2 linked regions of the Daphnia pulex genome follow. The protein of the gene in region 2 binds, or shares a complex with, the protein of the main gene of each other region. Links are inferred from orthologs where the notes say so. Each region holds a gene or a part of one and is shown on either strand. Other genes may lie near its edges. The genes, in order: vacuolar protein sorting-associated protein 33A-like and vacuolar protein sorting-associated protein 8 homolog.

Region 1 (4,252 bases), about 2.1 Mb from region 2:
GGGCAACTGGTCTGGTTAAGTAGAGCACTTAACTCTTAATACACAGCAAAAATGTATGCAACACTCTTTTCATTTAGATGTAGAATTATGGGGTAAATATATAACATTAGACTTAGACTAGAGAGTTACCATTTAAAGTTTCAGATAAACTAGTAAGGAAACTCTCACCATTTATTATATTTGTCGTGGCAATCAGATAATCTGTAGGTGCTAAAAAATTTTAAGGAAAAAAAAAGTTATTGTTTAAGTTGTTATTTGCAAAATATGTTGAACGCTAATTACTTACCATCATCCCTTTTAGATAGAAATCTAAGAGCAGAAATCTCTGCGTAGGTACATCCACCGAGGAAGAATACTAATGTGACCTTGGTTTCTTCAATCGAACTATGGACACTATTTCTAGAATTTCCTAAAATACAGTCGAAGTGTGATTATAAGGTCTCATAAAAACTAAGAAACGGAAACAAACTTCTTAAATCAATGGAAATTGGTTGAGTTTCTTGAACCAAATGTCCTGGAATCAAATTAAGCACATCGGAAATCTGCTTCCATCCGGGCTTAGCTGCCCATTGAATCAATCGTACACTTAGTGGCGCGTAAATAGAATGTACATAGGAGATGTCAGTAGGTGTGATTTCATTGACGTCATCTACCGTAAGATTCAGCGCTCTCCGTATAACAGTAAAAGGACGATTACTTTGCTGCAATCGAAGGAGACCACAAGCTTCAAGATTGTGAAGCGTAATCATGTGCTGGAATCCGTAAGCGTGAATAATTTCTCTTTTGTAGTGTTCTAAGACGCGCGGCTTCAGGCCACTATTGGCAGCAGATTGCAGACAAATCAAGCGAAGAATCTGTGATAATTATAAATGTAAAATAAAGGGAAATGGCAAAATGTATCCAACTGCCACTTCAGTTACCTTAGTCAATGGTTCCTGCTTACAAATGAAATCTTCAATGTATGGACAAACTTTGTCAGTATCAATTCCATTCAAAAGGTCTTGCTCCACTTGAAGGGCCTCTTGGAATGCTTCTGAAATAGTTATTTCTTTAATCAATTCAGCGACAGATGTATCTGTAAAAAAATTATGCGTAATACAGCTTAAATAATGCGTAATACAGCTTAAATAATGGCCAGGAAAAAATACGACAAAGTATTTACGTAGTGCTAAAGACTGTTTGGTGGCTTGCATCTGCGGTAGTTTTGCTACAAACTGCTTCAACTCGCTGACAGTTTTTGCTTCGTGTCGTTCTTCATACTGAGCTGAAATAGCTTTAGCTTTGCGACTGAGTGCAGTACCCACGGCTGAAAAGTTCTTGTCCCTGTGCAAAATAAATAACTTTAAAACTGTCGGAAGCAAAATTTGTCTGATTCAAAATTTCACCTCAAATCAGCGTAAAGCTCTTCGGCCGAGTTTAGAACAACAGATTTAACAGAGCTATCATCAGAGCGAGGTGACTGGCCCGCAGGTGAAGAGGCTTGAAACTTTTCTCCTGGAAGCTTGACTGTATCTAAATAACAATGAAACCACAAAATGCAAGTAAAATAATTGTTTTACACAGAAGCTAACAATACTTTCTTACTATGTTTTATTCCATAGAATTCGTCGATAAGACCCTCATAGGTCAACTGAGTGACAACAGGAGTTATCAAATCTACAGTCCTATCAATGATCATGAGAGTGTCGAACAACGGAGACATGGGGGGATCACAGTCTACCCCAATATCACGTCGCATTCGAGTCATCAATTCGAATACGTTACGGGCATGGCGTCCCTTACCCACAACGTTGGGGAAAATGCCATATAAACTTTGGAGGGACATTAACCCATGAGCAATTTGGTGTAAGGAGCTGATTTCATTATCAACATATAGATCCTGGGAAGAAATTTGAAGAAATCAATGACAAGCAATCCCTTTCAAAGTTTGGCTCATAAATAAATACCTTGAAAACATTATCGAGTTCCATTGAAATGACATCACTATCCAGTGGGAAAAAATCAACAGGCAGTTCATCAATAGAAGTAAGAGTTCCATACACTCCTTTGTCCTAAATGAAGTAATAATTTTGTCAACAATTTCTTCTTCGCTGATTTAAGTAACTTTAACCAACCTTGAGCCGTTGCTCACATACTGCACTTCGTCGGGAGACAAAAATTAACTGATATTCCTTACTAGCAGAATGTCCTTGGCTTTCTTCGCTGAAATGTAAATTAACTAATTGTTGTCTATTTAAAGTTAAAATATGTAGATTATTCATACCTGTGCAAGTTATCTGCAATACAATCCATCAGCTCAACTTCAGGTCTTGTGATGAACAGTATATTTTTAACAGATATGGAAGGCAAACGCCCAGGTTTTAACTGGAACATTTTTACAACATCTAGTTCCTTAAGAAAACTGTATTCTGCCACCAAACCAATGGGGCCAGTGAGTTGTTCATCCCAAAATATCGCCTAGCATAATTGATGAATTTACGTAAATTTCTTAAATGGAATAGCACACACCAAAATACCTTTGTTCCACTGAACTTCTCTAAAAGAGAAACAATATCCTGTAAAAATAACAAAACTGTTGACAAAATTTATTTTTACTGTATAAAATTGTACCTTTCTTGCCAACTCTCTCAGCATACTAAAGTTGACTTTGCCAGCTGATAAATGAGCCATGGCTGCTTTGTTAATAAAATTTGACTTATAAATTGGTAAACAGATTCGATCTGTTAGATTTAATTCTTTAAGATACGTCTAAGTACGTCGCTATTAACTGTCCAGATTCTAGATTTCTTAAGCGAAGGGTTTCCGAGCTTTTGTTTCTTTGTTTCTGATGAGGAAATATTTCGATTATTTCGTAAATGATTGGTATTGATAGTTGCTTTAAAGTATATAGTCAACTAGTAAATAGACCCAAGCTGAGAAACAGTGACCACTGACAAGTATCAGCACAACTGACAGCTTACAGTTGTAAACACTGAACAGCTGAGATAGGAACCATACAGTGTTGCCATTTTCCGAAACGGCTATCCTGGACAGTTGGCAAAAGCGGCAAAAGCAAAACACGGATTATGGAAACACATATTACACTTTCCTCTCATTAGTCATTTCGCTTATCATAAAGTACATTAAATAAATTCATAATCATTGAACTCCTATTTTATTGGACGTCCACAAAAACAATCACCTTGTTTTAATGGTGTTTTAAAAATGGCGCTCTTCTGGCTTCAACTTGACAAAAGTTTCACTGACCTCCCACAGCTTCTTGGCTAATTCGAGGTCTTTTGCCAACTTGGACGTTTTAGCAATCTGTGATTTTAAAAAAATTGTATTTTTAATTCGAAAAATATTTAAAACTTGCATTGCAAATATTATTTCCGGTACATCTTTATCAACTTTTAGATTATCGTTGTATGCATCAGCTTTGATTTGCAGGCATCTATATTATTAATAAATGTTTTTTGTTTTAAGTTAATATTTTACCTTACAATCGCTGAAATATTCTCCTGTAACGTTGGCGACTTCGTCAGCCACAGCCAAGTGAATACTTGTCTGCGCACCTTCTTTGGCCGACTGAAATATAGAAGGTAGACAGTTATAACGTTCAACGGATATGTAAATCAATCTCAGTAATGAATGAGGAAACAAAATTGAATTCTCAGTTTTCTCGTCTTAAACCTTTGAGAAAATAGAAGACACATGTGATGCAATTTTCACTAAAGTCTCATAAGGAAGGAAACGACCAAATTCAGTTTGAACGACACCCGGATGAAGAGCATTGACAGTAATGTTTTTACCTATAAGAAAAAATAATAAGTTAATATACATTTAATTTCTAGTGTATGTATGCTTGATGAAAATGAAGTATTCACAACTAATTAAACAGTGGAATGAGATTTTTTAAAATGCAGCAGAAAAAGAAAAAAAAATAAAAAACCTTAAAGAAAAGTGGAATGCAGACCGCGGCTACCATCTGGAACCCTAATTAAATTACTCGAGTAATATTTGGCTGAATCAGAATACAACAACATATAAAAAATGATGTTACATGTTGGAGCGTTGCGAAAGATTTCAGTTTTGACAGCACCAGGATGCAAACAGTTGACGGTTACACCTTATCGTATGCAACAATTGAATTTAAAATTGAGGTGATTAAAAATATCAAAATTAGCTTGAACTATCAAACAACAAGGTTGCTTCATTGTTGATCATTTAAATTTACTTGTACTTTAATTATTATACCGGATTTGATAACGAG
Region 2 (3,445 bases):
TTGAGTTAAACAAGGACACGACCTTGACAAATCAAGCCTTGAAGAAGGATTATCACTTTACAAACTGACGGTGTATAATTCTTAAAATCCCGGTGGAGTAAAGGTATGACTAGCAGAAAGATTTCAGCAGTGGGTTACAGGTGCACCGTTGTTTTTTCTTCTAACTCCCTTAAGATAACATTACATTAAAAATAGAGAAAAATGGAATGGACTGTATTATTACTTTGCTCATAAACAGAGGGGGACCATATAGCGTGATGGAACTTGTAAATTGTTCGTGTCACACTGTCACCAACTCAGCAACTCAGCATAAACCGTCCAACCATCACAAACAGATATTGATTATATCGCAAAGAAACTTATGACCAGATTCACATAAAAGTTAATTATTATGAATTTTCATTGATTGGGGTGACAGACCTCAAATTAAACCTTGAAGGATTTTTAATGGGGCTAAGTGATTGTCGGATCATTCCAACCAACTTATGGAAACATGTTGGATCATTTTGGATGACAGGCCAGACAATTTTAGCCAACTAATGTCTAAATCTGAATAAATGCCTTTTTTTGCAATCATCAAGTGATGGGCGCTGTACAGTTATTGTATAAACGGGAAAATATACGAGAAACGTTCTCTTTCCTTCTAGGATTGTGAATGAACCCAACAAGAAATTATACGTAACACGCACATTCAAGTCGTATTTGCAATAATAAGTCAACAATTTGAATAGTTTTATCGAAAAAGTTTCATACTGGATAAATATTTGGGTATCACTCGAATAGGTTCTGTAATGCAGAGGACAATCCGATTCTTGCCTTGTAGATCGAATCCAGCTGAGCAGGTGACAACTGAGGAACTGGCAACTGCTCCTGGAAAATGACAAAGAGTTAGAAAAATAACAATTACATTCAACAAAACTCTTTACTTGATTAGGGACAGTAGAATCATCTTGCTCTGGCTCTGCAATGATCGGTGTTGGCTGACAACGGATACATTGCTTGATTTCCCCTCGTAAGCAGCTGCTATGGAAAGCGTGACGACATTGGAATGCAGTAATGGATGGATTCCGGCCGTTTTGAAGCAGACGATTACAGCTGCTGCAGCGGGACGCACGCAACGCAATACCTTTCCGTGACTGGCGGTAGCGCTGAGACAGTAAACTGTGTACATCCCCTTGAAGCAGTCGCGTGCTGATCCGTAGCAATGTTGTCTCGTACGTGTAGTTATCCAAAAGACCTGTTAATAAATGAATCATTATATTAAAAAAACTTTACCTCAATGAATTAGATTTTTTTTTTTGTGTTACCCATTATAAGTTGGCGAAGATCCCCTAAAGTGCCTCCTGTTGTTTCGGGATCCTCAATCAAACGAGGTAACACTTTAGTTAAGCTTATTTGACCCTGGATGCTTGTCACGACTTTTTGAGTAACTTCTCTCAAACCTTAAAATCGTTAATTGTTAACGGACGGCCTTTTTTTAAATAAAAATTTCCAAAACCTGAGATGATGGAAGCGGAAGCATCCGGATTTCCCTTCAAGCTTCTTTGCGGAAGAAGCAACTCGTCGAGAAGGGTTAACCAAACCCTTTCGCGTTCCTTTTCTGTTAAAGAACTTGCTTGTCGCTGACAAAAATCAATTACTGATTGAGAAGCAGCCTCGAAGTCTTGCCAACCCTCTGTTTCAACAAAGAGTTGTTTAATGGAACCTTGAAGCTGGCCGAGTAGTAAATCGTAAGCGGCTGTTATCTCTCCTTGACGTTCAAGAATTGCCGCCTCAGCTTCGACAACGGCAAACTTGCGACAGATTTCTAACAAACGCGGCAGATGTGGGATATCGGCTAGTTGAACGTAAGACGTAAGTCGCTCCGGCTCTAGCTCCGCCATAAGTTCAGCAAATTGCTCAATACAATGACCGTCATCATCGATCAAAACAGCAGTATTGGTTGCCCCATCTATATCTTGAGTCCTATTTCAACGGAGGTAAGAGAACATCGTCTTTTAAAATTTGAAGCATCAATGTAAAATAAGTCGATAAAAATTAAGTTAAAACTCACGCCAAATCAAGAATAGCTTCAAGAAAACGATATCGTTCATTTGGAAAAGGTATCAGGGCAGTGACCGCCTCATCAATTAATGCAGGTTTGTTAACAGCCAAAAAGACGGCCAATGAAGTTGCGTTTAGTTGGACTAGCAGTTGGATATGTTTCAAAATCAATCGTTCCATCAGTTGGACATTGGATGCAACAGATTCAGTGAAAACGTTCCGCAGGAAGTGAAGAATGTCGCCGTGGCGAGAGGTATCGTCAATGTAGCACTGGAACACATTTTCCCAATCTTGGCGCTGCTCGTAGATATACTCGCATACACGATAACTAATAAAAAAGTATTATAAATTGAATGTGAAAATGGTTTCAAATTGATTTTTGATTTTAAATGATATTACAATTTAGCGGATTGAGCTTGTTCAAGTAGCTTTTCTTCATCTTCTGTTCCCAATGATAGCTGGCCTTTAATCTGAAGAAGTTGAAGCAGTGCTTGTTGCCTTTCTTCGAATCTACTCTGAACTCGAGTTTCTTTAGAAGACAAAGAACAGACCAAATCTACAAGCTGCTGAAAAAGACCACGTTCCAAATGAATAGAGTCGTGGCGAGGTGAGCGACTTATTTGACGAGCAATGAATGTGAAAAGAGAGCAAATCTGATCCGGCTGTAACAATAATTATAAACAAGTTACAAACAAGTTAGAATTACTATTAGGCAGAAAAAGATGTTTACCGAAAACTGAGACGAGTTGATCATAATTTCAACCAGAATGTCTATTACTCTCTGCTGGCGTCTTGCTCCCATCTCGCCAATGAATTCAGATTCTTCAAAAGCTAATGAAAGAGCATTGAGTAATTCTTGGGTATTAAACTCTAGTAGAGTGCGCAGGAATGGATATGGAGGCTCATCCTCCGAAGCTCGTTTACTGTGCAGGCACGTCAGACTAGTTAACACTTGATGTTTGACTTTAACACGGGAATCTTCGTCAATTTCTCCAACGGGATAAGCCCTGCCAGCCAAACAACATGAGATGTAGACCAGGATGACGTGGCCCAATTTGAGATCTTGTTCAGAATACGGCGGACCTAAGGGTATACGGTACATGGAATGGTTAACTAGTTAGTTTTATGGAATCATGTTATATAATGCTGAACCTAATTTGACTGCTCCTTGCAACTGTTTCATCAGATCTTCCAGCGGACTGACGTAATCCTGAAGCGCCCGTGTATGCACGTAAAGGTAAGCGTGACACAACCCCTGGTTATGCGACAACGTCAGAATCTGATGCAGATCCAAGCTAGAGACATCGACGTGGCTGATGCAGCTCTCCAGAGCCTCAAGCCAGCCCTTATCTTCATAAAGGGCTACAAATTGCTGCATAATAGAAGGTGAGATAGATTGCAA

The links.
Region 1: vacuolar protein sorting-associated protein 8 homolog (region 2) and vacuolar protein sorting-associated protein 33A-like share a complex: the UniProt entries of both Drosophila melanogaster proteins name them as parts of the class C core vacuole/endosome tethering (CORVET) complex. The link is inferred for Daphnia pulex from reciprocal best matches to the Drosophila melanogaster genes Vps8 and car.

Annotation. Positions count from the first base shown.
Region 1 is NC_060022.1:3,591,104-3,595,355, forward strand, and holds the start of vacuolar protein sorting-associated protein 33A-like, read right to left. Parts: upstream 2,993-4,252; 5' UTR 2,671-2,992; coding exon 2,611-2,670; intron 2,556-2,610; coding exon 2,517-2,555; intron 2,458-2,516; coding exon 2,264-2,457; intron 2,203-2,263; coding exon 2,115-2,202; intron 2,052-2,114; coding exon 1,947-2,051; intron 1,880-1,946; coding exon 1,585-1,879; intron 1,513-1,584; coding exon 1,386-1,512; intron 1,324-1,385; coding exon 1,163-1,323; intron 1,076-1,162; coding exon 921-1,075; intron 855-920; coding exon 470-854; intron 410-469; coding exon 287-409; intron 211-286; coding exon 113-210; 3' UTR 1-112. Other genes in the region: retinol dehydrogenase 13-like, read right to left, coding at 3,199-3,303, 3,478-3,567, 3,673-3,791. UniProt on the Drosophila melanogaster protein: Core component of the class C core vacuole/endosome tethering (CORVET) and the homotypic fusion and vacuole protein sorting (HOPS) tethering complexes involved in endo-lysosomal vesicle trafficking and lysosome biogenesis.
Region 2 is NC_060022.1:5,734,228-5,737,672, forward strand, and holds the end of vacuolar protein sorting-associated protein 8 homolog, read right to left. Parts: coding exon 3,196-3,445; intron 3,127-3,195; coding exon 2,774-3,126; intron 2,706-2,773; coding exon 2,443-2,705; intron 2,372-2,442; coding exon 2,054-2,371; intron 1,966-2,053; coding exon 1,499-1,965; intron 1,443-1,498; coding exon 1,308-1,442; intron 1,238-1,307; coding exon 927-1,237; intron 871-926; coding exon 772-870; 3' UTR 680-771; downstream 1-679. UniProt on the Drosophila melanogaster protein: Part of the class C core vacuole/endosome tethering (CORVET) complex involved in endo-lysosomal vesicle trafficking and lysosome biogenesis by facilitating docking and fusion of endosomal vesicles.